Linked DNA regions of Tribolium castaneum. Each later gene encodes a partner of the first gene's protein in a complex. Links are inferred from orthologs where the notes say so. Each region holds a gene or a part of one and is shown in the gene's direction. Other genes may lie near its edges.

Region 1 (8,133 bases):
TCACCAAATGGTCACTTCATTCTATTGAGTAAAATAAAAAACTAAATTACCAAGTTCAATAATTCCGAAACGATAAGAGATATTTGTAGTCCCATAATAGTTTATACAGGGTATTAGGGAATGGTTTAGCAATATTTCGAATGTGAATTTGTCATGATCAGACGAGTTAAAAACTCTTATATCATTTTTCCAAAAAGTGCGTACTTTCTTCAGAAATTTTTATTAACCCACCTGTTGAAAGCCACTGTGTAGTGGTGGCGCAAGGCGTTTTGAGAATTTTTCAAAATTGTGACTAACATGTTCCTTTGTGTTGAAAGTTCGAATCCCGATCTTGGCAAAAAAAGTTTTTTTTTTCGTGGTACTTAATAACAAAACACAAATTGAAACAGAAGAATAACGTAGTGGACCAAAAAGTTAATTTACCTTTGCTGTTTTGTCAATGGTATTAATTTTGCGCCAATTTTTATAATACAATTTCAGTTGTTCTCAAAATTTGGATCTGTAATTGCAGAACAATTTTTGGGAAAACTATGCATTTTTGATTTACATAAATTTTGCTTAATCAATTTGCCTTGTCATTCTCGATCTACCTTTAAATTTTTGCTAAACCATTCCCTAACACGCTGTATAAAGTTACAATATTTTTTTTGTGTAGAATCCAATTATGCAAAAATTTATAGGATGTTCCATTTAGAAAAATAAACTCTGGTTCACCACCCTGTAAACAACACCCTAAGTATAATAACAATATTATTAATTTGTGGACTTAAGTCGATCTATCGGATAATGAAATCGGTATGACATTATTTCAAATAGCAAAAAAGTTATAGATTGATTACGAACCATTGGGTCATGTATTACTAAAAATATGCCACTGGTCTATTTTCCTTGTACTGTTGATTGCGTTTGCAATGGAAATGCAGTTAGAACTTGATTGTTCTCAGGTCGCGAAATATTAAAATAATAAAGGTTTGATTATTCAGGGTGTTTACGGTCTTGGGATTGAAACTTAAAGGGGATGATATAAGTTATAATTCACATTGTAACAGAAAATCATTCAATTTGCATTGTTTGTGAATTGTTGCTTCGACTACAACAATTGCAATTATTACCTTGTGCTTCGTTGTAAGTTCTAATCATGACAATGAATTAATTATTTCAGTAATTGTAGTCCAGGGCAGTGGCGGCTCGCCTGGGGAAATACGTGAAGTGGCATTTCACCTAAAATCTATACTTACACACAGAAATATTTAATAAATTCTAATAAACTAAATTTACAGTAAAAAGTACATTAAACACGTCATAACACATTCAATTTTTTTCCAAATTAAAATATTCCATACTTTCGCATGCGTATTTTGTTTCGTTGCCATGACAACGCCGACGACGCCGACTTGACTATAAGCGTATGTTCGGGCGTATCCAGTATCGGAGTATTGTATAGAGCTCAATTTCACCCAGTTTTCGTGTTCGCGTTGAACGTCTCTATTATGATATGACTATATTTTAATTTCTAGAAACTTCACTTTTAAAATAAATCCTATAAACAACACTGAGCCTTATTCTGTACGAAAAACTAGGAGCCGGTTTACAGAACATTTTAATTGCAATTACATTTTAATCACGATTAACTTGACATTTGTCAATGCATTTTACATTTAAATGGCAACTTAATTCGAATTAGTTTAATTCTAAATTAGATCTTAATTTCACTTTCTGTAAACCGGCTTTAAAACTGTTTTAATTGTTTTTAATTTAAGGAGCTTTAGTTGTTGGTACAACGATAATCAACAAAATTGCTAGGTTTGCTATTTTTTGAAATGTGTCAAATTTTAACAGTCCTTTAATAAAATTACAGAATAGGTCTTAGTGTGTGCAGTTTGGTAAAAACAGTTTATTTATGCGTTTGTTATGTAATTACTACTTAGTGTTGGTACAGTTTTTTGTTTTAATAAGTACTTCCACTAAAAATTTACGATATGATTCGGTAAATGATCTCTTTACCTATTCTTAGGGTTAAATTAAACGTTAGAACTATCATAACTTCACAAAAAAATGTAAAACTTTTAGCTCTTCATCTAGTTTTGAACGCCTCCACAAAACACAAATTGAACTTGCTCAAAACGATTTCGGGTTAAATTCAAATTCAAATTTTGATCAAACTAAAGTATTGCTGTTTCAGAACAATAAAAACGCCAACGTCGCATTTTCTCTCAAAATTAGCTGTTAGAGTTTATTCCAAAAATGAGTGAATTTTGGCATTAAACATACATAGGTAAACATTTACTATTGAAAAAAAAATGACCATAGGCGTCGTTATACAATGTCTGTCAAATCCACTGTTAGTATTTAAAAAATTGTGGTAATTAAGTACTGTGAAAAATAATAAACAAATTATTAATAATAATTAATAGTGATATTTCTACCTTTCTCCGTTCTCAAAATTTATTAATGTTAAAATGAGAACTAAGTAAACTTTACAGAAAAAAAATGCACGCCCATGTATTTTTATGTCACTGTCAGTTCGCCACCAGATATGGAACAACCTCTATAAATTATTCATGCACTTCAAAAAAATAATAACTAGTGTAATTTATACTTTCAATGAGAGATCTAATCATTAATAACTATTTTACAATTTTATCAATAGTATTTAAAAAAATAATTCGATAAAATGCGACGTTGGCGTTTTTATAGTTTTGAAACAGCTAATAGAGGCAAATGAAATTAATGTACAATTAAATTTTATTTTAACAGAGAAATTATTCCGGTGACCCTCAAACCCCGTACCAATACTTCGGAGTTGAATAAAATTCTTAAAAATAAAAATTCCCTGAGTGTGTTGGCAGTTATCTCATTTCTACACTCTTCTGTAAACACACTGTATTGTACTGCAACCCTCCATTCGAATTTGGCGCCACACCCCGTCCAGATGGCTCTGCCATCACAAACGCCCTCACGTCGCCATCTTTCCTTCTTGTTTATCGCCGATTTCGTCCACTTTCCAACACGAAACGATGTCCAACAGCCGCAACGACTGCCGAATCTACGTCGGGAATCTGCCCCCGGACATCCGCACCAAAGACATCCAAGACCTGTTTTACAAATTCGGCAAAGTTACATTCGTCGACTTGAAAAACCGACGGGGACCTCCTTTCGCCTTCGTCGAGTTCGAGGACCCCAGGTAAGCCCCCATGTGGCCTCGAAACCCTCTCAGTGTGCTGATTTAGGGACGCGGACGACGCCGTACATGCACGGGACGGTTACGACTACGACGGCTACCGCCTCCGGGTGGAATTCCCGAGGGGCGGCGGCCATGGCAGCTTCAGGGGTGGCCGCGGCGGCGGCGACAGGGGACGCAGCTCCAGGGGGCCACCAGCTCGCAGGTCGCAATTTAGAGTGCTTGTGACAGGTGGGTTTGTTAATTTGATTTGTGTTTTCGTTTTTTATCGCGAAAATCATTCGAAATATAATAGGAAATAAAGGTCGGAAAAGCGATTAAAAGGAAAGTCATTTAGTTTTTATTTACAGAATTTTTCGAAATTACACACAAGGGTATTTTAGCATGTGTGGCTGCCACCTACGATTTGATTTTTTAAATTGTGAGGTTGTGTTTTCATTGCATCGTTTCTTGAATCGTCAATAATTTATTATTATTATTACATTTTTGTTTTTTTTTTGTAAACTATAAGATTAGAGCGAAAATAAAAAAAGCATGAAAATACATTTAAAATTGTCTTATCTTTTCGTAAAAACATATGGGCTGTTCGTTTTTATTGTTACAACTTTTAAACAGGTGATAGCACACTCAATTTTAGGAGAAAAGTTTCCTACAAACATGTATCGAAGAATATTTCATAAGGGGTGTTCCTTTTAGTGTAATTTAATTTCCCCAATATTTCAGAAACCATGGCATATAAAAACACAAAATTTGGTACAGATAATAATCTCTGTACGTCTAATTGAATTCGAACACCAAATGTACATATTTGTAATCAGGGACGTCCCAAATTGGGGGGTGGAGGATAAAAAATACCCCAACTATTTTGGCTTTCGTTTTTTGACAATTTTAGAAACGAAGGCACATTTCTTATGGGAATTTAAGGACCACTCAGATTGAGTAATTTTTATAATATCAATCGATGCGTCTTAAAAAGCTGAACAAATCATATCATTGCGTCAAACGTGTAACTTAATTAGGAATGCCGGAAATTGCAATCGAATTGAAGATTTGTCCCATAATAAAAGCATTGGGGCGGCTTTTCGGTGAGAGCTTGTAATCCAGATTGGGGGTCAGGTATAGGGAACAGACACTTTTATGGAAATAGGGATTTAAGCTGACAAGTTATATCTCCAACAATGAAGTGTTATACTCGAAAATAAAAGTTTTTGGAAATTGTAGATTCTGAAAGTAGACACAAAATGATGTCTAGTAATATCGGTCTGAGTTTTTTTAAATCGGTACTTTTTTAGTAATAATAGAAAATTCGCGCTGTGACGTAAGCAATGTCTCGACTAATGATTCGTCAGTCTTTTGCTGCATACAATTAACGCTACGACCTACGTTTGGGTTGGTAAACGTTAAATATAAATGTCAAAACCGTGCGTTGTTGATTGTGACTGTTGTGTGCTAATATTTTGCAGGAGTTTGTGTTTTGGTAAAATGACTGCTCCTGCAGCACATCTGAAGTCGTATGTAAAACAACAGAGGCAGAAATTAAGAAAAAACGGACCACTAGAACCAAATTGAAATCTACGTCTTTTTGGCTTAGGCCGCATTTGTAAGAAAATGTCGACGTTTTGTCCGTTCTTCCTCGGGACAGGTTCTGGTCGCGAAACCTTCTGTTCATCCCTGATTTTCATGTTATTTATGGTCTGTAACATACTGTTTATTAAGAAACGGTTAGTTGTATAGAAATAACACAAGAGACCATTTTTATGGAAAAAACTATGGAATTTACTATTTTGTTATTAAATTGTCAGAAAACTAAAACCAAAATAGTTAGGCCTGATTGCTCAGTTCAAGCTGAAGCTTTCGCTTACATGAGGTCGGTTTATATTTAAACTAAGTTTAAACCGTAGTTGTGTTGTTGAGTGGAAAGTTTAGCTAAACCGCGCTGAACTTGTCACTTACGGGGTTGGTAGTTCTGAACGCTTGCGCACTTCAAGTATGAGGTTGCTTGACGAAATTTTAACAGTTCTGATTTTGAAAAGTTAAGTTAATATTTTGGTACATTGTAGGAATAATATTGTTATAATGATATTTATGCTTCCTTCTGAAAAAGAGCAATTTATCGTTTTCTGTCTTTTCTTTCAAAACACAGCAATAAACTGATTTGCACAGTTTATTTGTTGCTTTTGTGCATTTGAAGACTTGGGCGTCCTCACTTTTTAAAACTATGCTGTAATTAAAATCACATAATATTTACTTAGTATCAATAATTCTAACAACATTATTCCCCTGACTGTCGGATTTTGCTGCAGCAATTAAAAAAGTTACTGAAATAAGAATAAGTAAATTATTATCATTATACTTTTTTTTTAGTTTTTTTTTAAATATAATAATAATATATTAACTTACATGTTGTCTATTCATTACTGTCATTGTTCAAGTTTATTTGTTTAATTCAAACTGAACCGAAATTTATTTAAAAAAACTGTTTCTGTGCATCATTTTTGAATCCGGAAATTTAATAGTTCTTCATCATTATTGTTAAAAGCAATTTTTTTCCACATTTGTGAAAGTAAGTAGTATATGGGCTATATGGCGCTTCATGAGTCTGTTTTTTCTAACATTGTTGGTCTGCGTATTTTATGATTTTTTTAATTGTCATATATTTTTCGTAATTAGCAGCCTCTCTACGGGTGTCTTTTGTTGTATTAAATCTTCGAGCAATTTGGGCCCATGTTCCATTTTTTTCACCGAACGTAATCAAGTATCTTTTTTATAATTTTGAACAAAATTGACCATATTTTTTTTGCGTTTAAAATTGCTACTTCGGTTTCTTTAATTTATCTGTTAACGATTTCAATAAAATTATAAAGTTATGTATATTAATAACGTTAATATTAAAAATGTTAAGCGATAAGCCAATGCTTAAGCGGCCAACATCGACCGGTTAGTTAAACCAATACTAAGCTTTAGCTTAGTCGATATTTCGTATCTGACCACACGGTGCCCCTAGTTTGGGACACCTCTCATTAAAAATTCCTACATTTGATCCTTAAATTCGATTAGGCGTATGAAGGTTATCAATTGTACCAAATTTTGTATTTTTATCTGAAACGGTTTCTGAAATATTGAGGAAAACCTACATGTTTATAGGAAATTTATGATTAAAAATAAATGTTCTATTACCTATTATACAAATTTGTAACAATAAAAACAGAACAGCCTGCATATCGGGCAATAACTCCGGAAGTATTAGACGTAATCTTATTAAGTTTATTCAAGTCAACCTCTTCATATTCTACTATAAAAATGGCCAGCTGAATTCAAACTTGGTCGCACATCTCTCAATGATGAGTTTTGTGAAGGATGACCAAAACAGTAACCACGGATAAAAACCTCAAAAAAATGCAAATTTCGATATTGGATAATCAGCGAATGAAAGTGTATGAGGTAGCTAAGGTGATAGGGATATCTGAGAAAAGGGTGTAGTTTATTTTGCACCAAGAATTAGATACGAAAAAATAGTGTGTGAAAGGGTGTCGCAAAGGCGCTCTGGCAATGGAAAAATTGACGAATTAAAAACATGAATTATTAGAACATTCTTTATATTCGCCTGATTTGACTTCCCCAGACTTCCACAATTAAAAAAAAAATGTGATTAGGAGAAATTATCACTCGAATGAGGAGGTAATAGCGACTATAAATAAGTATTTTGCAGAACTACCAGAAAGTCACTTCAGGGATGGGATTAAAAAACTAGAAACACATTGCACTAAGTGCGTTGAACTAAATAGAGATTATACTACAAAATAAATGCATATATTTGAATTAAAAAAAAACGAAGTCTTTTAAGATGAAAAAAATCGTAACTTAAAAACTATTGGGAATGTGGTGATTTTATCGACACCAATCGATTCCCCGGATCTTTTTACATAGGCTTACATCAAAATATTTACAATTGAATTTTTGCAGGGTTGCCACCGTCGGGCTCGTGGCAGGACTTGAAGGACCACATGCGGGAGGCTGGAGACGTGTGCTTCGCGGACGCGTTCAAGGACGGTTCAGGCGTTGTGGAGTTTCTCCGATACGAAGACATGAAATATGCTATAAAGAAATTGGACGATTCGAGGTTTAGGTCACATGAGGTAAGAGTTGTTTGGTTGTTGAGGGATTTGTGTTTTAATTTGGCGTCAGGGGGAGGTTTCGTACATAAGGGTGAAGGAAGATCGTGGGGGGAGTGATAGACGGTCAGGGGGAAGGTCACGCAGTCGTTCATATTCGCCCCGTCGGAGGGGTTCCCCAACATACAGTCCGGTCAAAAGGAGTTACTCCAGAAGCCGTTCTCGCTCCTAATTTAATCTACTCTACGGACTGGCCTTTTTGTATAATGTACGTATCAAAAAAACCGGGGATTTTTTTAATTTGATTGATTTAAAAAAAATGCAAGAGAAAAAAAGCGGTTGGTAACCCTGGAATTTGTATTTGTAAATGTGGGTATTTTAATTCTTCTGACATTCCTGGAAGAATCGTTTTTTTCTCTCCTCCATTCTTGTAATTTTTTAGACTTAAATTTTATAAAAATTTTCAATTAGGTTAGAGTACGGATAAGGCACTAATATGTATTGTTTCTTTTTTCTGTTACCGTACAATTTGCTGAGTCAATCAGCGTTGGACTGGTTTTTGGAAAAAATAATAAAGTCGATAGTAAAATAATAGACAATAAAATGTTATCTTTGACACACCCGGATGCAAGAGGAGTGGATGAATGTTGTTAGGAGGGAGTCTCAAAGATCGTGGAGGAGGATATTTAAACTTTTAACACACTAAGCATTGCATTTTTCGGAGTGTTGAGAGGACACCACACAATTAAATGGCTCGGTAAATAAGTTATTCAATTTTTCTAACAATGAAACACAATCATTTCAAAAAATTAACTGACACGTTTCTCATTGAAAAAACAG
Region 2 (8,442 bases), on another chromosome or scaffold:
CTCAATCTCCACTGGCGTTGAATCAAAATTGCGGCTTTTCTGAGCGAATTAAAGCGTTCCTTTTGTAATTTTGCGACTTTGTTGGCCCGAAAACGTCTCTGAATTACAATAGTATTTGTTTTCAACATTTCAAACTCTTTCTTCGAACGAATCATTGCAATTTTAGCCCTCCACTGTCTTTGGACGAAAATCGTAGCCTTTTTAAGCGCTTGGTACCGCCATTTCACCTGAACAAAAATCACAGCTCGTTTCAATCTATTAAACTGGTCCCTTGCTAGTTTCATGCGAACGTAACTTTGTACAAAAATCGTTGCATTCCGCAACATTAAAAACATCCTTCTGGCTTGTCTCCTTCTAAATTCTCTCTGAGCCACAATTGTGGCCCATCGTAAGTTCTTAAACCTTTCGTAAAGTAATTTCGTTCTAAAACGCCTCTGGATAACAATAGCTGCGTTTTTCATTTCCATGAAAAGTTTCCGTTCACATTTCGCTCTCCAACACCTTTGCACAAAAATCGCAGCTTGTTTCAACCGCTTGAAAGCTCTAAACTGTAACTTTGCCCTAACGCGACTTTGGACCCATTTAACTGTCTCCTTCAAAATTTGATAATTGTACAATTGTTGCCTCATTGCCAATTTCGCTCGCCACAGTCTTTGTACAAAAACAACACTTTTGTGTAATAATTTGGCCCGAAATCGTCTCTGAATCAAAATCGTAGCCTCACGTAAAACTTGGTATTGTGTTCTTTGGTTTCGCATAGCTAAAGTTGCCCGCCAACGTCTCTGAATGATTAAAACAGCTCTCTCCTGTTTTTCAGCTTTGAAAAACTTTAGCATATTTTGTAATTTTTCGTAGCGACGTTTGGCCAAAAACATACGAACGTAACGTTGGATTGTGATAGCTGCTGCATTTTTTGTTTCACGAATTAATTTCAATTCGTTTCGTTTTTTCACAATTGTGTCGCTTCGCCACCAGTTTGTTATCAATGTCACACTTTTAGCCATTAGGGGCGTTTGCAATTTGTGAATAATTTGCCACAAAAACGATAGAGTTTTCTCTTTGTGACCGTTGACTATGTCACTTGGTGTAATGTCGTAGAGAATTTCGAAACCCGAACGTTGCAAAGCCTCAAACACGATTTTCATGTTGTGGATTTTTTGCAATCGTGAGACTGTTGGAACACGCAGTTTTTCACTCAAATTATTTTGCAATAGAATAATTTCCATGACTCGTGTTAGTCTAACACCGTCACGTAAATCAACCCCGAGACACTTAACAGCGTAATCAAACTCATTCAAATAGCTCTGCTTATGTACCAAAGTGTATTGAAAGTGTTTCAAATATTTGGTAATATCGCCCATTGACGAAACCGTATCACGGGCAAAAGTCGTAAGAGCCGTTTGGCTCTCTTTAATTGGTGCGTTTTTACAAAACAAACACGGATCATGTGCTATCAATTTCTTGCTTTTGGCCCGGTCTAGGAAAAAAACCAACGCCAGGAATTTCTTCAAAATGAATTGTTTGATCTCCGATTTGTATTTCTCAGAATGGACGGAACGGTGTTTCTTTAATAAAACCGGGTCCCGCATAAAACGCTCCCAAAGGAAGCGAGTCAAGCCCCTAACATCCGAATTCGAATTTAGGGGAATCACCCGTCCGTAAATCGTCTCCAAACCAATGCGCAACCACAGAGGATTATAACTCAAAATCACTTGCATAACATCGGCCTGCAAACGCAAATCTAGATGTACATCACGGTCTTTCCGCAACGCAAGTTTGCCACAATCAATAATCGCGCCAACTTTAATCAAAACGTTTTGAATTTCGTTTGTTTGGTACAACGCCTTAGCGGCTCTCCTTAACGCGTTTAGTTTAGCATTGTTGTGAAACCGTTGCGAGACAATTTCCCTGGTCGGTGCCACTTCGATTTCTTTCTCCATACAACTTCGCCACAATTTGGCTACGTCTAAGGGATGACTTTGCGCATTTGAATCAAGATCCAAAGGTGGTGTTAAAACAGCATTGAGCCACTTTTTGAAATTCTCCTCTTGACCCTCTAACCACGTTACAACTTCCGGTTCGAAAACAACAATATTGCGTTGTTTGGCCCATTCTTGGGGGAATCCCAGATTTGGGCGTTTCGGTGATGTCACTTGAAACGTAACGTCGCTTTTACGCTTCAAGGGTGTGGCTTTCGGTTCGGTTTCTTCCCGAATTGTGACTAGATTTGTGTGATGGCATGACCACAAATCTGCCTCAATGGTCATTTTCACTCCGTTGCCGACAAGACTATCAAGGCGGCATTTTTTCGAAAAACTTGACGGTGAATTATCGGAAATGTCCGATTTGGTGTACGTTTCCGAGCTTAGGTTTTTAACATACGTTTCGCTACTCAGGTTTTTTACAATTTCGAAAGTTGTGTCGTTGAATAAAGTTTTAGGTTTGCATGTTAGAAGAAAATTATCAGTGTTATCGATCGATTTTTCGTCGGTTGAGCAACGTTCTGGATTGAAATCGATTTGATTCGATGGTGTTAATAAAAACGACGTTGATTGTAATCGACGTTCAAATGAAACGCTTGGTGATTTTACCACCGTTATGTTTTCTAAACTGTCGTCAAAAATCTCGGGGATGTTTTGATTTACGGTATAAGTATCTCGTCGTGTTTCAATTTTCGGAGATAAATTGAAATTTTCTTTACCGTTGAATTCACTTTCTGGAGGATTTACGGTAAATGTTGGCATGTTTGTAATGTTTGGGAGGATTGCTCGCTTTTGTGGCGATTTTCGCTTAAAGTTTTGGACCGGTGAAGTGTTTTTCTTGGCCACAAAGCGAGGGAAACGTTTCTGGGTCCCTTTCTTGCTTTTCTAAACCACAAAAAATATTGATAGTTTAGAAAATTAATTTCTTTAATGTGCTATACAAATAATAAAACATGGAGGTGTTATGACAATCAGCACTGCCATTCAACAAAAACAATCAAAGCCTACTCTAATCATAAAAACAAATGATCACACTGTATCTTTACTTACGGTCAAAGTGGCTGCTTTAAGAACGATGGGAACGTTTCGGCACGTCCCTACATCATCAGTAACACACAAATTGAACCTCCAAGCCCCTTCACAGGTGGGGGTCCAAACAAGTTCAAGTGTTTCCTCACTCTGGGCATCTATCCTACAGCCACCCCAACTCAAACTAAAATGAAGTTCTTCCGGAATTGTAATTCTCGCAATCAGCTGAAAAAATGGCTCAAATCCTGCCCTTAGAAACGAACAAACCTACTTCTTTTGCATGTCCTGTCGGATTTTTAATGACCAGATTTTGAGTGGCCGTTTGACCAATTTTAACATTTTCGAAACAAATTTTCGGATTTGGGGTGAAAGGGGCCAGTGATAAAACGGCATTATCTGGCTCGAGTTCCGGCTTTGGTTTTTTGGATTGTTGTCTAACAGGGGGCGAAAACTAAAGTTTGGTTAAGTAACTGACGTCCACTCAGAAATGATAAAACACAACTTACTTGCAAAAACATAGTCACAGGTTAAAATTATCAACATTAAAATAACACACAACAATGTTGGAGGCGATAAAACAGTTTCTTAAAAACTCTGTACTTGAGATGAGTTTTTTGATTCAAATGATAAACCGTCAACTTTCGCTCGACCAATAGAAATGGACGTGTTCTGTTGGTTGCCGGGATTGGAAGTTGGCAATCATGGTTATTTAGTAACATCCATTTTCTGGCTGTTGTTTTTGACGTTTGTGGACAGTTTACGAATGTATTTAATGTATTTTTACAATTTTGCTCATTTATGATGTGATATTGGGGCAATTTGCGTTTAGAAATGGATTCTAAGCCGAGTTTGAACTTGGTGTACGCGGCCGTGTCCGCTCTGTACAACAATCCGAACACAACCGAGAAAGAAAGAGCCTCGCAATGGCTCGGAGAGCTCCAAAAATCCGTAGGTTTTTCCGTAAATTTTTTATTTTGTCTAAATTGTAAGCTGTTTTTTTAGGTCCATGCGTGGACAATCGCCGACGAACTGCTCCACCACAAACGTGATCTGGAATCATGTTATTTTGGGGCACAAACAATGAGGACGAAGATTCATCACTCGTTTCACGAATTGCCAACAGAAGCTCATGAATCTTTGCGAAATTCGCTTTTGGAGCACATTAGTCAAATTAATGAGGACACTAATACTGTTATTGTGACTCAGTTGTGTCTAGCTTTGGCCGATTTGATTCTACAGATGCCCACATGGCAGCAGGCGGCTCTAGATTTGATTAATAGGTTTACAACCACTAATATGTGGCCCTTGCTGGAGATTTTGACCGTTCTGCCGGAAGAACTCGAAAGCCGGTCTGTTAGGTAAGTTTTATTTAAAAAAAGTTGGTTAACAACTCATTGGTATTCCATAATAAAATAATTATTATTTTCCTATGTTGTAAATTACATATTATGTCACTCATTATATGAAATAGTTTATTGACTTGATGTTTGGTCAAAAACCGAATTTTCTCAGCACTTTTTCGTGAATGGATTTTCCTCTATTTATTTAACTTAGGTTGGGCGAAAACCGTCGTATTGTGATGCTGGAGGACCTGAAATCGTGCGCTGGCACCGTCAACGACTTCCTCACTCATTGTTCCAACACTTACGGCAATAATTGGCAAGAAAACGTCCAAATCAACGTAAAAATTCTACGTTGTTTCACATCTTGGGTGTCAGTTGGAGCAATCACTCTAAATGATATTGCCAATAATGTGGTGATATCGCGTGCTTTCTCAATTCTAAACTATAAACCAGAAGGCGACAAACCTCAAAGTGTGGCCGGTTCGTTACACGATGCCGCCTCTGATTGCATTTGCACGTTATTACAATGCCTCGAAGACAACAACAATCAACAAATCCTCGAAACATATTTGTTCAATAACGTGATTAATTTGGAAATTGTTTATCACCTGTCGGTGGCAAACGAAGACCAAGAGAAGTCGATTAATTACTGTCGGATTTTTACCGAACTAGCCGAATCGTTTCTCGAGAAGATTATCAATAGTTGTAGCACGAAATCGTTTCATTATGCGATTAAAGTGCTTGATTTAGTTTTGATTTGTGTGGGACATCACGAATACGAAGTTGCCGAAATCACCTTTAATTTATGGTACGTCCTGAGTGAGGAATTGTATCAGAAGAATAGTAAAGAATTGACCGAATTGTTTCGACCGTACGTTGAAAGATTAATCACAGCGTTATGTAGACACTGTCAAATGGAACCGGATCATGAAGGCTTGCTCGAAGATGGTGACGATTTTAAAGACTTTCGATTAAAAGTCTCCGATTTGGTCAAAGACGTTGTTTTTATCGTTGGAAGTAGCAGTTGTTTTAGACAAATGTTTGTCAATTTGCAAGCACCAGGTGTTACGTGGGATTCCAGCGAAGCCGCCTTGTTCATCATGCAAGCGGTGGCCAAAAATGTCTTGCCGTAAGTATTTAAAACTTTTTGTTCGGATTTTGACTCGATTTTTTTGCAGGAGTGAAAACGAAGTCGTCCCGAAAGTAGTCGAAGCCATACTTTCCCTCCCCGAAACCACACATATCGCCGTAAAATACACCTCAGTCATGTTATTGGGGGAATTATGCGAATGGATCGAAAAACATCCAAATACACTTGATCCAATTTTGAATTTTTTGGTCTGTTGTTTGCCACAGGCCGGTGTTGGTGCAGCTGCTGCAATTTCCTTACAAAGTATCTGTGCAACTTGCAACGATCACATGCCACGACATGTCCCAGTTTTGTTACAATTGTTGCAACAAGTTGATACGTTTGCAATTACGAATAATGCAGTCATTGGATTAGTTAAAGGTGTTGCTGCAATTGTTGGTTGTATGCCACATTGTGATTTAACCGATGCGATGCGAAAATTGTGTTCAATGCAATTGAATCCGTTGTGTCAGCTTATAGAACAGGATGTGGTGCCAGTTAGGGGCACTAAAAGTGATCCGGTTTTGTGGTTGGATAGATTGTCGTCGGTTTTGCGGAATGTCAACGTTAGGCTTTATGAAGGTAAATTTTTAGAGCTAGGAATAATTTTTTTTCCATTTTTTTGTTATTCGGCGAAATAGAAATATTTTTGGTTGCAATTTTCAGGCCAGGTGCACCCTTGCAAGCCTGTGATTTTGGAGGTATGGCCTGTCCTTTCGCGCACGTTCGACAAGTACCAAAACGACCTGAGAATAATGGAGCGGTGTTGCCGTTCCGTTCGTTTTATGTTGCGTTGTGTGAGTCAACAAGTCTGTGAGCTTTTGCAAAGTTTAGTCAGTCAAATAGTTCGAATTTACGCAACCTATAAACATTCGTGTTTTCTCTACGTTGGAAGTATACTCGTTGATGAATACGCAACAGATCCAAATTGCGTCCAAGGCCTGTTGGATATGTTGCAAGCTTTCATCGAACCCACATTTCAACTACTTCAGGAAGAAAACGGATTGAGGAATCATCCCGATACCGTGGATGATTTCTTTCGATTATGTTCGAGATTAATGCAGAGAGCGCCAGTACCGATTTTACAATGCGGTGCACTTGTACATATACTACAGTGTAGTTTGATGGCGTGTACTTTGGATCATAAAGAAGCGAATACGTCGGTAATGAAGTTTTTTTATGATCTGATTAATACCGGAAAGTGTGGTAAAAATCAAATTGATTTCGAACAAAGGAAAGTGCTCGTTACGAGTATTTTAAATGAATATGGACAACAGTTAGTGACGAATTTGCTTCATGCTTGTGTTTTTTATTTACATTCGTATATGTTGAGTGAGGTTGCGGATGTTTTTGTCGAATTGTTAGAATTTGACAGAGAAGCGACAAGTAAATGGTTAGCCAATGGTTTAGACACGTTACCGAAGGAAAGTAACGGGGGGATCATGTCAGCCACTCCTCAACAATTGAACGATATACATGCTTCAATGACTAGGTGACTGGAAAATAGCAATATCAAGGGGGAAATATTAATTTTTCTTTATTTTTTCAGGTCAGACACGTCAAAGTCAGTCACACACGCTCTGAAAGATTTGACTAGGTTTTACCGTTAAAACTGTATGATTATAGTGCTATTTTGAGATAATATACGTATGTACTTTCAGGGTTTGTAAATCATAGTCCTTGCTCCTGTTTTCCATATTTTAATAAAAATAAAAAGCAAAATAATACGTCATGTAAAAGATTGTTCCTTATAACTTCACCCTAAATTAAGACTAGAAAAGTTCAATTCAATATAAAATCGAGGCAATTAAACATGATGATTAATTAAAGGAGTATCGAGTTTTCGCTTGGTGGAAGAACAAGGCAAAAGCCACAAAAGAGGGTGCTCGCGTCCAAAAACATCGCTCAGAAGTGTCATTTTTGGTTTATGGGGGCGATAAGGACCTTGGTTTTGTACGTGTTCTACAGCCGTCTCGTCTGTTACAATGGCTTGGATTTGGTCCACAAGAATCGCAGAAACGAACATGCCAAACAGGGCGCTTATCAGTAGCAGAACTACTGAATGCATTCTACAAAAAAATTGATTGGTTAATGAAGCCGAATACTGTTTGGACATTTTTTTGTTGACCACTCTATTTTAAATGATTAATAAAAAGCGATCAACGAAAAAATTATCTAAGGTTGATTCGTACATTCTGGCCTGCTTGATTGGAATTTCCTGACTGCAGTCTTTACACTCCGTTATCCACGAAACACTGACCAATACTATTGCATAAACAGATAATACTCCGACATAAATAAGAAACTGAAGGAAATACTTTTGGTTGCGTTCGCCCACACAATTATTAATCCAAGGACAATGATGGTCCATTCTTCGAATACACCGCCTGCAAATGCGGCAATGATGCGCCCTTGGGGGCCTGTAAATTTCGCAACGTGTGCAAACCGTCCAATCAACATAATCACAGCCTAGAATTATTTTTGTTAAAAGGAGGCCTAAATCTTTGCCATGTAATACCAGACTCAGAGGAATGCATATCGGAAAAGTCCAATTTACTGGGAAACAAAGGCAAAGTTCCAGGGTCTGTGAAAACAGCCCGAAAGTGGGCCATACACAGGAATAAAATTACAGTATTGAACATGACCACATTGAAGGAACCCCATAAACTGAAACAAATCACTGGACCATTGCAACTTAACTTTACCCAATTTACCTATTAACCATCGATTGCAACACCACCCATTTAACTATAACATAATCGGCGTAAAAAACCGAAACATAAGTTATTAAAATGCAACAAACACCGCAAGGGTCTTTCAGAAACATGGTTTCGCTTTTATATTTAGTTTACATTTTTTTAAACCGTCTTTAACCACATATTTATCGACTCGAAGAAATTCCAGATTTTCTGATTTGTTGTTTTCACACACGGGTGACAATTCACAATTGACAGTTTTG
Region 3 (8,228 bases), on another chromosome or scaffold:
CTGCCTTTGTGCCTGGCTTTTTGCGTGAAATAACTAAACGAGTTGGCGCGTTAGTCACTTCCTTTCTGACAGTTCCAATTTTAAAAACGGTTAAAAATGAGCGAAACGCAAGAACAGAAGCGCTGGGGGCACCTGCGCAAGGTGCTGGAGCGTCCGGGCCCCTTTTGCCACCCGGAGTTCGAGCCGTCACCCGAAATCATGGATTTTATCGTAACCTCCTGCAAGGTGCTTGTCGTGGGGGCCGGGGGCCTGGGCTGCGAACTGTTGAAGGACTTGGCTTTGATGGGGTTCAAGCAGATCCACGTCATCGACATGGACACGATCGACTTGTCGAATTTGAACCGCCAGTTTCTGTTCAGACAGAAGGACATTGGGCAGTCCAAGGCCAAAGTGGCGGCGGCTTTCATCAACAAGCGCGTGCCTGGGTGCCAGGTGACGCCCCATTTTTGCAAAATACAAGACTACGATGAGAGTTTTTATCGGAGTTTTCACATTATGGTGTGCGGGTTGGACTCGATCGTGGCCAGGAGGTGGATTAATGGCATGATTTTGTCGCTCTTGAGCTACGAGGATGGGGTGCTGGATAATTCGACCATTATTCCATTGGTGGATGGAGGTTTGTGCCGAAACGTGGGGGCTGAGACAAAAAACGCGCCTTTTTTCGCAGATGGCGCTGTTTCAAAATATCAGCGCCTTCTTGTTTCAGACGCTAAAGTTATTTCTCTCACAAAAAATTGTGTTATTTTAGTTTTTTTTCCATTTTGATATTTTTATTGACATTTATCTTTATCTAACAAACTATTCGGAAATAAAATTACCGTTGGGGGCGCCACTGAGCTAGGTCGAAAACAGTAACCATAAATGGCGGGAAAATGTTTATTCGGATATTTTGAGCGTTGTACGAATTTTGGGGCTTCACAATTATTCCATTGCCTATGCGGAATGATTATTGCATCTTTGATGCAAGAAACTTATGTTGACAAATGAGAGATGACGAGGAAAACACGAATAACGAATGACTGTTTGGTTCACTTTCTTTATTGGAAAATTATTACAAAGACATTGAAAAACCTACCTTTTGGCATAATTTACGTTTAAATGTATCAGCAGTTGTTAATCTTTATTGTAGTTTTGTACATTTACTGCAGCATTTCATGATTTTTTCAGTGGAAAATTCTAATCTAAAATTCATAACACTTCACTAATTTATTGGTTTCTTGAGCCAAACTTTGTGTTCGCTGTGATTTATTACTTATAATCTTTAATTAGACAACTGTTTGATAACACTTTGTAATCAAAATTTAAATATTTTTCACTTTTTATCCACTTTCAAGTTCCAACAATAAACACTTTATACCATGAAAAACTACAGAACCAAAGTCAACGCTAGTATTTACCACCACGTACTTTTAAAGTAATTCTTTCTATTGTAAGTAATTAACACTATACACGCAAAATTGTTGAACAATTCATTAAATGTCAGTTAAATGTGGCATTACGAAAATTTCTTTACTGTCTTCGACATAGTTCAAAAGTCATCACCAGAGGGCGTCTAGTTAATTTTATTTCCGAATAATTCTTCTTGTTTACAGCGCCATCTGAACTGTGCTGTGGCGCCAAAATTTAAAAAAATATATATAATTGAGTAATAATTTATTTCCAGGTACTGAGGGTTTTAAGGGCAACGCCCGCGTCATAGTCCCTGGCAACAACGCCTGTGTTGAGTGCACCCTTGACTTGTACCCCCCTCAGATCACCTACCCTTTGTGCACAATCGCCAACACACCCCGCCTGCCTGAACACTGCATTGAATACGTAAAGGTGGTTTTGTGGCCCAAGGAGAACCCCTTTAATGCGCCCCTGGACGGAGACGACTCCCAGCACATTGGCTGGGTTTACGAAAAGTCCCTGGAAAGGGCGTCCCAGTTCAATATCCCTGGAGTGACTTACCGCCTTGTTCAAGGCGTCGTAAAGCACATTATTCCAGCAGTGGCGTCAACTAACGCCGTTATTGCCGGAGTTTGCGCCACAGAAGTGTTTAAAATCGCAACGAGTTGTTGTCTACCGTTGAATAATTACATGGTTTTCAATGACGTGGACGGGATTTACACTTACACTTACGCAGCGGAACGGAGGGACAATTGTGTGGTTTGCTCCCAAGTGCCGCAAACTCTACCGATTGAGGATCCGAGTAAAGTCAAGCTGAAGGATTTGATTAAAATCCTGTGTGAGGATGAGATGTTTCAAATGAAAAATCCAGGTTTAACCACGGTTATTGATGGGAAAAATAAGACTTTGTACATTTCCACGATTAAGAGTATAGAGGAGAGGACCAGGGATAATTTAAATAAGACTTTAGTTGAGTTGGGGCTTAAGGATGGCATGGATATCATGGTCGCAGATGCTACGTCTCCCATGACGTTGGTTTTCACACTTAAGTTTGCAACGAGCGATGTTGAGATGAAGTAATTGTGTTATTTATTTTTAATAAAGAAAATTACAAACTGGGTTTTGTTTCATTTTAACGGTTATTTTGGCCCTTGAAATGTTTATTGTTTGATTTTTTTAAGTTCTAACCACTCTATCAATTTTGATATTGAAAAAAACACTTTATATCTTTATATCTTTTTTTTGGTATTATTGCTTAAAATTTGGTCGGAATTTTGACTTAGGCCTTATTATAGCTTCGCCGTAATCGGCCGTAGGGCGTTTTTCTCAGAAAATATGACTCGGCGAAGATAAAAACCATCAGAATGAATAAATAAATATTAAAATTTAGTTTTTGCCGGGAGTTTCTCCACACAAGTTGGCCACCCCAAAAAAAAATTCCCCTGATCGGTGGCCACTTTTATAATTTTCCGCGGTTTGGTCCAAAATCGTGCATCACACCGTAGTCATAAGTGATTCCCCGGTCATTTAACCCCCGTCAAAGTTACAATAAACGTTTTGTGGAAGTATAAATTCAAAACTGGCGCGTCAGGTGTGCAACCACATGACGTTTCCTCTCTAGTTCTCGTAGTGCGAGAAATGGCGGACGAGAAAAATGTGGAGAAAACAATTTCGGAAGACTTGGTCGTTACCAAGTATAAAATGGCCGGAGAAATTGTTAACAGTAAGTTGAAACGTCGCTCTTGAGCCCCCCAAAAAAAACACCCTCGGCTAAATTCACCCAGCGCCATATGCTCCAACCATGTGGTCTCCCAGCAAGCGTTGGCCCCCGTTTCGGTCATAACTAGTTTTTTTTCAGGAATTTTGAAACAAGTTCTCGAAAAATGTAAGCCAGGCAGCTCAGTTCGCGAGATTTGCGAGTTCGGAGACCAGCTTATCACGGAAGAAACGAGCAAAGTTTTCAAGAAGGAGAAGGAGCTAAAGAAGGGAATTGCCTTCCCGACGTGTGTCTCGGTCAACAACTGTATTTGCCATTTTTCTCCCATTGCCAGTGAGTCTGATTATGTCCTGAAGGACGGGGATATGGTCAAAGTGTAAGTGAAAAAAAAAATCTCTAATGGGACACAACCAGCTTAAGGGTTAAAATTAAATTAAATGGTTTTTGCGCCAAAAATTGCGGAACAGTACCATACAGTCTTATTCAAGTTTAGAGAATCAAGTAACACGTTATTTTTATTTTCTTGTCAAATGTTCGATCCTGGCGCCGAGCTTTTGTTGTATGATGAACTAAAATTGGCGGCAAATTTGAATGTTTTATTTTTAACACATTGTGTTAGATGTTAGGTTTAGAGAAAAACGAGTGACATATTTTCGGGTCCGTTCTTTGAGAAAATAATTTTGGTCAAAACTGTGTTGCTATCGTCTTTTGTTTTCGACTTATAAACAAAAGTTGACATTTTAGTGAAATATTAAAAAATTCATATCTTCCTTGTTGTGAAAGATACACATTTGAAACAAAGACATTATTACTTTTTTACAGAGAATTTAATAATGTTATCAGTAATCTTTCTTAATTACAAAGTTGTATTTTTTTAAAATGAGAATCATAGTTGGCTATGACATTTTCGAAAAGCCTATTTTTTTCTGAACTCAAAACAATATAAATATAGTTTGATATTTTTATATATTTTTGATAAAAATATATTTAAAATATTTGAAAGTAGTTGGCCATGGAAAAATTATTTCACATAAAAGGTGTGAATAATCTAGAAATTTTGTGAACGGTTATTAAAGTAAAAAATGTGAAATTATAAAAATAAGTTAAAGTTATTTTCAATTGAACAAACATACGAGCGTCGCAGATTTTAATTACATAAAAAAGGTGCAGAAAATTGCAAACGATGTCTCACTACCACTAGATGACACTTTTTTTATGATTTAGTGCAATGGAGGTGACGTTGATAATGTTGTGTATTTTTTTACCGCAGATGGAATTTGATTTTGGTGTTTGGATTGACATTTTTTTGTAAAATAAAATTTTATTGATACGCAATCATACAATTAATAAGATTTTTCTTCTTCCGACATTTCATGTTTAAAATTGGAAAATAGAATGACAACGTAAGCTTGCCATTTTAAATATAATAACAAATAATTTTTATTAATTGCAAAAATTTGATATAATAAAAATTTATTGGCTGTTTTTGAATTAATTAGCGTTTAAAAAATCATTAAATTATAAATACTTGTTGGGTAATACAATTTTCATAGTTTTAATTTAAAATCCAAAATTTTTTCATGGCCTACTATAAAAAAGGCGAAATGTTTTGTTTTTTCTTAAATATTCAAAATAAATGTATTACACAAATAGACATATCAAATCAGAAAAAAATAAGTTTTTCGAAAATTTCACAGCCAACTATGATTCCAATTTAAAAAAATACAACTTTATGTTATTACAGTTAAACGAATGGTTGAAAAAAATCGCTGATAACATTATTAGATTCTCTGAAAAAAAGTGCCTTGTGTATAATGTCTGTGTTTCAAATGTGTATCTTTTATAATAAAAAAGATATGATTTTTTTAAGATTAGAACTCTGGTTGTGTCCTGCTTCCAAAAATTAACTCCATGATGATTTATTTAACTCCAATTGATCCAACTGAAATCAGTGATTGCAAATATACGATCTGATGTAATATTATTATAAAAAAAAATAGTTATGCCTTTTAATGTGCTATCTTGCCCCTTTTTTTTAGTGATTTGGGCGCGCATATCGACGGTTTCATCGCCGTGGTGGCCCACACGATAATCCTAGGTGTCTCAAGCGAGCACAAGGCCACCGATCGAAAAGCCGACGTAATGCTCGCAGCACATTATGCTTCCGAAGCCGCTCTAAGACTACTAAAGCCCGGCAACGAAACATACACAATCACTGACGCCGTTCAAAGAGTGGCCGAATCGTTCAAATGTAAGCCAGTCGAGGGCATGTTAAGCCACCAACTGAAACAGTTCAAAATCGACGGCGAGAAAACCATCATTCAAAACCCGAACGAAGCGCAGAAGAAAGAGCACGAAAAGTTCGAACTGGACAAGCATGAGGTGTATGCCATGGACGTGCTGATCAGCACCGGCGAAGGCGTGGGCAGAGAGGGCGATAATCGTGTCTCGATTTACAAAAAAACCGACGAAACTTATCAGTTAAAACTCAAAGCTTCGAGGATGTTTTACAGCGAAGTGCGCACCAAGCACGGGAATATGCCCTTCAACTTGAGGAGTTTTCAGGACGAGACCAAGGCCAAAATGGGGGTGGTGGAGTGCGTCAAAAATAAGTTAATAGAACCGTTCCAAGTGCTTTACGAAAAACCGGGTATGTTTCTTCCCCTGTTATGGAATTTTTTATCTAGCGTTGATTTTTTTCCATTTTCAGGCGAATTTGTGGCCCATTTCAAGTTCACGGTGTTGTTGATGCCGAACGGCCCCCACAAAATCACAGGGCTGCCTTTCGACCCCGAACTGTACAAATCGGAGCACTCCATCAGCGATCCACAAGTCCAGTCGATACTCAAGAGTTCTGCTAACCCTAAAGCTGCCAAAAAGAAAAAAAGGAAGACGGAAGGTGAAGTGGACCAACCAATGGAAGTCGAAGCTGTAGCTTAAAAACAAATACTAGTTTTATACAAGCTTTCTCCTCACACTCGGCACTTTGTATTATTTTATTATCTAAGTTTTGTATTTCATTTCTTTTTTAAATTTTCATGACGAGATTTTTTCTTCAATAAAACTGACCCCAAGTGTTGAAATTGTTAACTTTAATAGATTTTATATTGCTGTGACAGCAATATGATGAATGAATAAATATAGTGTTTGGTAGTTGGGCTTTAATTTCAACTGCACGTGTAATTAAAAATGTTTACACCTTTTCAGTAATTGATAATCCTAATCGAAGAAAAAAGACAAATTAAAAAATGATGATAGAACATTATCTTTTCCTTTTTGGAGTGTAGCCTCGACGTTTCGATCGTCCTCTTGAACTGCTTCGCCTCTTGTCCTTCCTGCGGGAACGCGATCGGGACCTGCGGCGTCTCTTCGACTGCCTAAAAACAGGAAAAAAGGTGTTCCGAAAATATATTTGCGAATAAATTCTACTAAGATTTTTTGGCTTATTCGTGATAATTTTTGCAAAATAATGACGTTTCTGCATTAAAAACAAATAATTAGCAAAATGTTTTTGATTTTTGACCCAGTTAGATGCCTTTTTTTTAATTTAAAATATTTTGTATGTGTAACTGTTTGTATGTCCAAATACTCCGAAATTAAGAGGTTTTGAGAAAAACGAGTGACACATTCTATGGTCCCTTTTTTGAGAAAATAATTTTGGTCAAAACCGCATCTCGCTATCGTCTTTTGTTTTCGACTTATTAACAAAAGTTGACATTTTAACGAAATCTTAAAAAAATCATATCTTCCTTATTATAAAAGATATCCATTTGAAACGAAGACATTATACAGGCACTTTTTTTCAGAGAATTTAATAATGTTATCAGCGATTTTTTTCAACCATTCGTTTAACTGTAATAACATAAAGTTGTATTTTTTTAAATAGGAATCATAGTTGGCTGTGACATTTTCGAAAAGATTATTTTTTTCTGATTTTATATGTCTATTTGTGTAATACATTAATTTTAAAACATTTTTAATTTTAAACATTTCGCTTTTTCTTTATAGTAGGCCATGAAAACATTTTGGATTTTTAATTAAAACTATGAAAATTGTATTACCCAACAAGTACTTATAATTTAATGATTTTTTTAACCCTAATTAATTCAAAAACAGCATAATAAATTTTTATTAGATCAAATTTTTGCAATTAATAAAAATTATTTATTTTTATATTTAAAATGGCAAGCTTACGTTGTCATTCTATTTTCCAATTTTAAACACGAAATGTCGGAAGAAGAAAAATCTTATTAATTGTATGATTGCGTATCAATAAAATTTTATTTTACAAAAAAATGTCAATCCAAACACCAAAATCAAATTCCATCTGCGGTAAAAAAATACACAACATTATCAACGTCACCTCCATTGCACTAAATCATAAAAAAGTGGCATCAAGTGGTCGTGACACATCGTTTGCAATTTTCTGCACATTTTTTATGTAATTAAAATCTGCGACGCTCGTATATTTGTTCAATTGAAAATAACTTTAACTTATTTTTATAATTTCACATTTTTTACTTTAATAACCGTTCACAAAATTTCTAGATTATTCACACCTTTCATGTGAAATAATTTTTCCATGGCCAACTACTTTAAAATATTTTAAATATATTTTTATCAAAAATATATAAAAACATCAAACTATATTTATATTGTTTTGAGTTCAGAAAAAAATAAGCTTTTCGAAAATGTCATAGCCAACTATGATTCTCATTTAAAAAAATACAACTTTGTTATTACAGCTAAACGAATGATTAAAAAAAATTGCTGATAACATTATTAAATTCTCTGTAAAAAAGTGCCTGTATAATGTCTGTGTTTCAAATGTGTATCATTTATAATAAGGAAGATATAAAAAATAAACTTTTGTTTATAAGTCGAAGATGCGGTTTTGACCAAAATTATTCTTTCAAAAAACGGACCCGAGAATGTGTCACTCGTTTTTCTCTAAACATTTTAGTTTTTGACTCGAAAAAAAGTTTACCTCGAAGAATCGCTTGAACTGTCGCTATAACTGCTCGAACTGGAACTATAACTCCTCTCTCGTTTCGCTTTACTCGAACTATTCTTATCCAACTCTTGCAACACTTTATAAGTCTTCAACAACTTCTCCTTCTCA

What was found.
Region 2: the proteins of SF2 (region 1) and Tnpo-SR are in contact, whole or in part, in a crystal structure (PDB 4C0O), measured with the Homo sapiens proteins. The link is inferred for Tribolium castaneum from reciprocal best matches to the Homo sapiens genes SRSF1 and TNPO3. Residues at the interface, in NP_008855.1 of Homo sapiens: Ser116, Arg117, Arg118, Ser133, Trp134, Gln135, Lys138, Asp139, Arg142, Glu143, Gly145, Asp146, Cys148, Tyr149, Ala150, Asp151, Val152, Tyr153, Arg154, Val172, Arg173, Asp176, Asn177, Arg181, His183, Tyr189, Ile190, Arg191, Arg198, Pro200; in NP_036602.1 of Homo sapiens: His155, Arg157, Arg160, Thr167, Tyr254, Ile256, Glu257, Glu304, Glu340, Ile341, Phe343, Asn344, Tyr347, Arg348, Glu351, His352, Lys355, Thr356, Arg620, Asn656, Glu660, Arg661, Arg664, Arg667, Phe668, Arg671, Ser698, Cys699, Tyr702, Ile706.
Region 3: SF2 (region 1) and proliferation-associated protein 2G4 share a complex: the UniProt entries of both Homo sapiens proteins name them as parts of the ribonucleoprotein complex. The link is inferred for Tribolium castaneum from reciprocal best matches to the Homo sapiens genes SRSF1 and PA2G4.

The regions. Positions count from the first base shown.
Region 1 is NC_087401.1:8,585,718-8,593,850, reverse strand, and holds the start of SF2 (serine/arginine-rich splicing factor 1A), read left to right. Parts: upstream 1-2,928; 5' UTR 2,929-3,017; coding exon 3,018-3,184; intron 3,185-3,230; coding exon 3,231-3,412; intron 3,413-7,144; coding exon 7,145-7,317; intron 7,318-7,366; coding exon 7,367-7,525; 3' UTR 7,526-8,133. UniProt on the Homo sapiens protein: Plays a role in preventing exon skipping, ensuring the accuracy of splicing and regulating alternative splicing.
Region 2 is NC_087402.1:357,851-366,292, reverse strand, and holds Tnpo-SR (transportin-3), read left to right. Parts: upstream 1-3,716; 5' UTR 3,717-3,842; coding exon 3,843-3,959; intron 3,960-4,013; coding exon 4,014-4,369; intron 4,370-4,565; coding exon 4,566-5,483; intron 5,484-5,532; coding exon 5,533-6,065; intron 6,066-6,149; coding exon 6,150-6,975; intron 6,976-7,032; coding exon 7,033-7,093; 3' UTR 7,094-7,143; downstream 7,144-8,442. Other genes in the region: asp (abnormal spindle-like microcephaly-associated protein homolog), read right to left, coding at 1-2,867, 3,033-3,236, 3,283-3,462, 3,518-3,529. UniProt on the Homo sapiens protein: Importin, which transports target proteins into the nucleus. Specifically mediates the nuclear import of splicing factor serine/arginine (SR) proteins, such as RBM4, SFRS1 and SFRS2, by recognizing phosphorylated SR domains.
Region 3 is NC_087400.1:1,390,404-1,398,631, forward strand, and holds proliferation-associated protein 2G4, read left to right. Parts: upstream 1-2,958; 5' UTR 2,959-3,027; coding exon 3,028-3,112; intron 3,113-3,247; coding exon 3,248-3,482; intron 3,483-5,145; coding exon 5,146-5,756; intron 5,757-5,816; coding exon 5,817-6,046; 3' UTR 6,047-6,259; downstream 6,260-8,228. Other genes in the region: Uba3 (nedd8-activating enzyme E1 catalytic subunit), read left to right, coding at 97-616, 1,664-2,469; Moca-cyp (peptidyl-prolyl cis-trans isomerase G), read right to left, coding at 6,369-6,483, 8,094-8,228. UniProt on the Homo sapiens protein: May play a role in a ERBB3-regulated signal transduction pathway. Seems be involved in growth regulation. Acts a corepressor of the androgen receptor (AR) and is regulated by the ERBB3 ligand neuregulin-1/heregulin (HRG).